Linked DNA regions of Oryctolagus cuniculus. The protein of the gene in region 2 binds, or shares a complex with, the protein of the main gene of each other region. Links are inferred from orthologs where the notes say so. Each region holds a gene or a part of one and is shown on either strand. Other genes may lie near its edges.

What was found. Proteins that work in one complex are often made in the same cells at the same time.
Region 1: DNAJB13 (region 2) and DYDC1 share a complex: the UniProt entries of both Homo sapiens proteins name them as parts of the axonemal radial spoke complex. The link is inferred for Oryctolagus cuniculus from reciprocal best matches to the Homo sapiens genes DNAJB13 and DYDC1.

Annotation. Positions count from the first base shown.
Region 1 is NC_091446.1:71,137,870-71,141,517, forward strand, and holds part of DYDC1 (DPY30 domain-containing protein 1), read right to left. Parts: intron 2,096-3,648; coding exon 2,003-2,095; intron 590-2,002; coding exon 539-589; intron 1-538. UniProt on the Homo sapiens protein: Functions as part of axonemal radial spoke complexes that play an important part in the motility of sperm and cilia. Plays a crucial role during acrosome biogenesis.
Region 2 is NC_091432.1:65,266,636-65,270,581, forward strand, and holds the end of DNAJB13 (dnaJ homolog subfamily B member 13), read left to right. Parts: coding exon 1-64; intron 65-1,353; coding exon 1,354-1,467; intron 1,468-2,473; coding exon 2,474-2,550; intron 2,551-3,137; coding exon 3,138-3,291; 3' UTR 3,292-3,426; downstream 3,427-3,946. UniProt on the Homo sapiens protein: Functions as part of axonemal radial spoke complexes that play an important part in the motility of sperm and cilia.

The DNA of each region.
Region 1 (3,648 bases), on a different chromosome or scaffold from region 2:
CTGTGGCACAGTGGGTGAATGCCCTGGCCTGCAGTGCCAGCATCCCATATGGGCACCAGTTCAAGTGCCAGCTGCTCCACTTCCGATACAGCTCTCTGCTATGGACTGGGGAAGCAGTAGAAGATGGCCCAAGTCCTTGGGTCCCTGCACCCACATGGGAGACTGGAAGAAGCTCCTGGCTCCCGGCTTCAGCTAGCTGTAGCTCCAAACATTGCGACCAAGTGCGGAGTGAACCAGCAGATGGAAGACCTCTCTCTCTCTCTGCCTCTCCTTCTCCTCTCTCTATATAACTATGACTTTCAAATAAATAAATAAATCTTTAAAAAATACAAGTTGAATGCCCAATTTTTTCTATCCACTTTGAAATTTTGCTTCAAAGCACATCATATCTGTGACTTGTTATTACTAGAATATATATTTTGAATATCAATTGTGATAATATCCTTATTTAAAAGTTAGCTACTAATGCATCAAAATTAAGCCTTACATTTCAGGAAACTCATTCATTTCACATAAAATAAAATCTTTTGCTTCTCACCTCTGAACGTAAACTATCCTCACCCTTAGCGATACTTTCCATTCTCATTTCCTGTAACAGATAAAATGAAAAGAATACTTTGAACATACTTCATTTTGCTTCACATTAATTTCCAAGCATTTTTATTTTTACCAATGCTATATTCAACCTAAAGCCAAATTCTATCAGTCTTTGAAGAGTGATCTGAATGTACTTAACACAAAATCACAGACCTTGACTTTATTTACTTTTATTGTATTTACTTTATTTTTTTTATTTACTACTCTATTGTGGGGAGCAACTCCAACTAGACTAAGTTACTGGAATTAAGACTTATTCTATGCATCTGCTCTCCCACAATATGGCACTGGGAGAGGAGTAAACAGCTTCTACACAGCTGCCTCTCACCAACTTGACAAGCTGCAGGACCTGCTCCTGATTGGAGGAGAGCAGCGTGCTCGGCGTGTGGGTAGCAGAGTTGGGATTGGTGGAAGAGGACTATAAAGGAGGAGAGAGACAACATGCACCAGGAACATCTATCTGAAGGAACACCTGTGCGGCCCCCGAGAGAGCCGGCCGGCGGTGTGCCGCTCCCCCACGGAAGTGGGGAAAGTGGCAGGGAGGCCCGCCCCTCCACGGAGGTGGAGGGACGGCAGCCAACCCGGGAAGGACCAGCAGCAAACCCGGGAAGGGCCAAGCAGACAAAAGAACAGCGCAGGGTCCTGTGTCGTTCCTCCGCGAAGAGGGGGAGCGACACTCTATAGTAATAGAAGATAACTATGTTTCATATATAATTAAATAAAACTTTTTTGAAAGACTATTTCAAAGACAGAGTGACAGAGAAGAAGAGACAGTGAGACAGAAATCCTCCATGCTGGTTTACTCTCCAAAGGACCACACTGGCTGGGTTGGGACCAGCCAAAGCCAGGAGCCAGGAACCCCACCCTGGTCTCCCACACATGTTGGCCATCTTCCTCTGCCCTCCCAGGCCATTAGCAGGAAGCTGGATCAGAAGTGAAGCAGTCAGGGCAGGCGCCGCGGCTCACTAGGCTAATCCTCCACCTGCGGCGCTGGCACCCCGGGTTCTAGTCCCAGTTGGGGCACCGGTTCTGTCCCGGTTGCTCCTCTTCCAGTCCAGATCTCTACTGTGGCCCGGGAGGGCAGTGGAGGATGGCCCAAGTGCTTGGGCCCTGCACCCCATGGGAGACCAGGAGGAAGCACCTGGCTCCTGCCTTCGGATCAGCGCGGTGTGCCGGCCATAGCAGCCATTTGGGGGGTGAACCAACGGAAAAGGAAGACTTTTCTCTCTGTCTCTCTCACTGTCTAACTCTGCCTGTCAAAAAAAAATCTGCATGAAAACATGTTAAATGTAAATTATTGTTGCTAATACATCTAACATACTACTGTCTCAGAGATCAAAAACCCTCAGTATTTCAAAGAACTTAATATATCTTCAAACAAAACATTTATAAAACTTCAAATTACCTTCTCCAGTTGTTCTTGAGCTCTCTGCAGTTCCTCTATTCTCTGTCTCTCCTTTTCTTGCATTTCCAACTCCAGCTGGAGCGCCAGCTGTTGCTGAACATTCAGAAATACATAAGTCAGATTACAGTCAGATTAAGTGCAAGGAATTAACACTGTAACTTTTAAATGTTCCAGGGTAATTATGTTATACCCACTGAAATTTCAGCAACTCACAAAAATAAATGGTCACAGTCACTTAATATTTTAGGTTCTACAAGTATTTCATGAAGTACAGGATTTTTTTTAAAAAAGAAGCTTTCTTAACTGCTAATTTTGGAAACTACAATTTGGACAAAATGAAGTCACTTCTTTGTTCTTGAAGCTACAAATGAGACTGCACCAATTTCTCTAGATAAAATAAATGAATATTCAAATAGCCAAATCTTGGTTGCAGAACAGTAGGTGAGGAAATCTTAAGAATATTATCTGAACCGTGAATAACCAACAATATATGTTGCGCTAAAATTGGGGTCAGCAATACAGTCTAGGGGCCAAATCTGACTCAAATTGTCCAGCCCATAAGCTAGGAATGGCCTTTACACCATGCTCATGTTCATCTTATTTGCTTATGTATGGCCTACAACTGCTTTTACTTCCAACAGAGACCATATGAGGTGCTAACATTGTTTTGCACGTCTGCTCAGTCCACTGGCTGCAAATCACAATGACAATGTTATAAATCAATGGGATTTGCAGTACCTCAGTATAACTAACATGCACATTTTTATTTTAATTATACCCATCAACCAAAACAAGAAAAGTGAACTCTGAACGTCACACTTTTAAGGCACAATGGAGTATGGATTATTCTGTTGTCCATTTTTACATTTATTTCATCGGGAGGCAGAGAGGCAGAGAGATAGGGACAGAGGTCTCCCATCTGCCGATTCAATTTCCAAATGCCAGGAACTCAATCCAGGTCTCCCACATGGGTGGCAGGGACCCAAGTACTTGAGCTATCACCTGCTGCCTCCCAGGGTACACATTGGCAGGAAGCTAGGATTGGGAGCAGGACCGACTCTTGAACCCAGGCACTCTGATATGGGATGCAAGCATCCCAAGCACAGTCTTCATCGCTACACTAAATGCCTGTCCCATATTTTGTTATCAAATGAAACAGAAAAATATTGCTTTGGGGCCAGCGCTGTGGCACAGCAGGTTAACACCATAGCCTGAAGTGCCGACATCCCATGTGGGCACCAGTTCGAGTCCCGGCTGCTCCACTTCAGATCCAGCTCTCTGCTATGGCCTGGGAAAGCAGTAGAAGATGGCCCAAATCCTTGGGCCCCTACACCCACATGGGAGACCTGGAAGAAGCTCCTGGCTCCTGGCTTCAGATGGGTGCAGTTCCCAGCCGTTGAAGCCAATTGGGGAGTGAACCAGCGGATGGAAGACCTCTCTCTCTCTCTCTCTCTCTCTCTCTCTGCCTCTCCTCTGTCTGTGTAACTCTGACTTTCAAGTAAAATAAATAAATCTTTTAAAAAAATATGGCTTTTATTATATAGCACTGTACTAAAGAATGTGGTATCAACATAAGCACTCATTCACAATATTCTCAACTCATATGAAAGCAAAAGCAATAAAAAGTAGAAAATTCAAAATAGAAG
Region 2 (3,946 bases):
GATCGACGTGAAGCCTGGCTGGAGGCAGGGCACACGCATCACGTTTGAGAAGGAAGGGGACCAGGTGAGGGCGGGACTCTATGATCCAGGCCTAGGGGACCAGGTGGGGGGAGGGTGAGGGGACCAGGTGAGGCGGTGGGAGGGAGCTGCCTGACTCCATCACCCAGGCCCAAGGGGCGGGAAGACTGAGAGGGAAGGAGCCCTGGGCCCGTGGGGAGGTCAGGACACAGAGTGAGTGGGATGAGCCCTAATGTCCTTTGTGACCCTCTGGGGGCCCAGGGATTATTCCCATTTTACAGAGTGGGAAACTCGGGCCAGAGAGGTCAGGGACCTACTCGGGAGAAGAGCAGAGGGGTGGAAGGAGAAGCGCACTTCGACCCGGCGCTCTTCCTGGCTGGCTCCAGCGCTGCCCTGAGTAAGCCCAGCTGCAGCAGCTGCTCGGAGGCCGCTGACTGACAGCAGTTGGAAGTCAGGCACTGATTTAAAGAAAGGGAGAACCGAAGTCCAAAGACGAGGCTGAGAGCCGGAGCACCCAGAGAAGAGAAACAGATTCCTGTGCCCGCAGCTCTTGCCCCCGTCCTCACCTGTAAAACAGCTGTTCCCAAAAGACACCCTTCAAGATCCAGATGCTGGGGCCAGCACTGTGGCACAGGGGGTTACAGCCCTGGCCTGCAGCGCCGGCATCCTATATGGGCGCCGGTTCGGCGAGTCCCTACTGCTCCACTTCTGGTTCAGCTCCCTGCTAATGCGCCTGGGAGATCAGTGGAGGATGAGCCAAGTGCTTGGGCCTTTCCACCCATGTGGGAGACCCAGAAGAAGCTCCCCACTCCTGGCTTCAGATCAGCTCAGCTCTGAGCAACCATTAAGGCCATTTTGGGAGTGAGCCAGTGGATGGAAGACTTCTGTCTTTTAAATAAATACAATCTTAAAAAAAAAAAAAAAAGCAGCTGCTATGTTTCTGCCTCTGGGCAGCCTTTCCTGACCTCCCCTTGGGTATGGGCTTCCTTTATGTGCTTCCTTTTAGCACAGCCTGGAGTGTGCCCCCCCAAAGTGTCTGCCCCTGCTAGGCTGAGGGGCCAGACTGATCTGGGCAGGGTTTTGCTGCCTGCCACCTGAGAGCGTCTGTTTTGGGCATGCTCAGTAGGGGAGAAGGAACAGGTGGGGGTTAGAATCTATCCATGTGGACGATTCTCACCACAGGGGCTGCGGGGTCCAGACTGAAAAGGCCCTTCTAGAAAACCTGGTCTCAGCTTCCCATCGTGCAGAGGGGGACATGGGGACAGGTAGAGGCAGGAACTTGCCAAGGACACTCGGCCAGTTAGTCCCTCTCACCGCTCGGCCTCTCCTGCCTAGGGCCCCAACGTCATCCCAGCGGACATCGTCTTCTACGTGAAGGAGAAGCTACACCCTCGCTTCCGCAGGGAGAAGGACAACCTCATCTTTGTGAACCCCATCCCTTTGGGCAAGGTGAGCGGGCAGGAGGTTGGGGACCAGGGTGGGACCTGCCAGCCCTCCCCTCCCCCCACCCTCTGCCAGCTGTCACTTGGTCCTGGGGACTCCACCCCAAATTTCCCTGCACTTCCATCCCCTCCCCTCATCCCCACCATCCAGGCCTGGGCGCCCACCGCCCATCTCAGCGCCTCTAGAGCCTGCAGGGGCCTTCACAAACTCCCCTCTGATGCTGCCACACCCCTGCCTCCACAGCTTCGGCCCTGTGCACCTCCTGCCCTGCCCTGTAGGCCCCGTGTCTCCTGACACTGCTGCCTGTGGGGCTGTTTCCACACCTCCACGCTCTCATTGCTGTGGCTCCTCCGCCTACCTCCCGCTGTGGGGCCGGCCATCATCAACTGGTGCCACCCTGTGCACCAGCATGGCCTCGGGGTCTCTCCTTGGCTCCCGCAGGCCCCTTTTATTTCCATCTCTACCCTAGCACTTTTACTACATCGGTGTCACTTTGACCTGCCAGACTGAACTCCTGGAGGGGAGCTCGTCTGGGTCACTCACCTGGTAGTTGTCTGTCTCCCTGGTGCCCAGCTCAGGGCCTGGCACTGAATAGGATCATGAAAGCCCTTTAAAAAAAAAGATTATTTATGTGAAAGGCAGAGTTACAGAGAGAGAGAGAAAGAAAGAAAGGGGGAGACACACACACACAGAGAAAGATCCTCCATCTGCTGCTTCACGCCCCAAATGGCTGCAACAGCCAGAGCTGAGCCAGGCCAAAGCCAGGAGCCAGGAGCTTCCTCCATGTCTCCCACCCAGCTAGCTGGGCCCAAGCATTTGGGCCATGCTCTGCTGCTTTCCCAGGTGCATTAGCAGGGAGCTGGATCAGAAGTAGAGCAGCCGGGACTTGAACCGGGGTCCATATGGGATGCTGGCGCTGCAGGCCACAGCTTTACCCACATCGCCAGCCCCAGATGATGAAAGGCCTTCTAGGTAGGACGGCCACGGAGACCCTCCCCACTCACCTCCCCAGGCTCTCACCTGCTGCACGGTGGAGGTGAAGACCCTAGACGACCGGCTGCTCAACATCCCTATCAACGACATCGTCCAGTGAGTCCAGCTGCCTTGGGCCCCAGTAGCCAAGAGAAGGGCTGGCCGGCCGGGGACACAGGGGAGAGTGTCAGAGAGGTCTGCCCAGCACCACTGTGCAGGCTGCACCCAGCCCCGGAGTCCCATCCTGAGAGGGCAGGAGGGGACTAAGGGCCGGCCCACACTGTGACCCAGCTGTGAGCTTCATGCACCTGGCAGAAGGAATACCTGACTCGCACAGAGCCGCTGTGGAGGCTGGAGGTCCCCTTCCACGCGGGGCTAGCCCCCTGCTGCCTCCACCCTCTGAACTTCTTGTTTCCCAGAGTCCTTCTCCAAGGAAAGCTGTCTGCCTGGGAAGGTTTGCCCTGCAGCCCGACACCATCACCCAGCCCCAGGGTCTGCTCACCCTTCTCTTGCCCAGTTTCCTGGACCAAAGACAGGATGCCTGGGCTCCTCCCCCAGGGACCCTGTGGACGGGGGTGGGGGGTGGGGGGGGTGGGTTTCCCAGGGAGTACGTGATTTGTCCCTGGGAGAGGGGTGGCCTGGGCCCACTGGGGGCACTGCTATACTGTGCTCCCTGAACCTGCTCCCTCCATCTCCCACCTCAGCCCCAAGTACTTTAAGAAGGTGCCGGGCGAGGGCATGCCCCTGCCAGAGAACCCCGATGAGAAGGGCGACCTCTTCATCTTCTTCGACATCCAGTTCCCCACCCGCCTCACGCCACAGAAGAAGCGGATGCTGCGCCAGGCACTGCTGACCTAGCTCTGCGGGCTCGGGCTGCAGGGGACGGAGGACGCCAGTGGGGCCTGATCCAGCCCTGCCCCACAGCAGCAGCGCCCCCTGCACATATGTGACCTGGTGCCTTACACATAATAAAGGTTTATTTCCTGACCTGGAGCTACACGCAGGAGAGTGTATTGGAGAGGAGCTTCCTACATCCCTTCTGGTGGGGTGGGGGGAGCAGCCAAGCACCTGGTCCCTGTGGGGAGCAGCTCGGACTAGACTGTTACTGGAATTAAGACTTATTCTATGCATCTGCTCTCCCACAATATGGCGCTGGGAGAGAAGAAAACAGCTTCTACACAGCTGCCTCCAGTTCAACCAATAAACTGTAGGACTTGCTCCTGATTGGAGAGCAGCGTACTCGGCGTGTGGGCAGCCGAGTTAGGATTGGCAGAGGAGGACTATAAAGGAGGAGAGAGACGGCATGCACCAGGGAACATCTAAGGGGAACATCTAGCTGAAGGAACACCTGTGCAGCCCCCGAGAAAGCCGGCCGGCGGTGTGCCGCTCCCCTGTGGAAGTGGGGAATGTGGCCAGGGGGAACTGCCCTTCCACGGAGGTGGAAGGGATAGTAGCCAACCCGGGAAGAACCAGCAGCAAACCCGGGGAGGGCCGAGCAGACGAAAGAACAGCG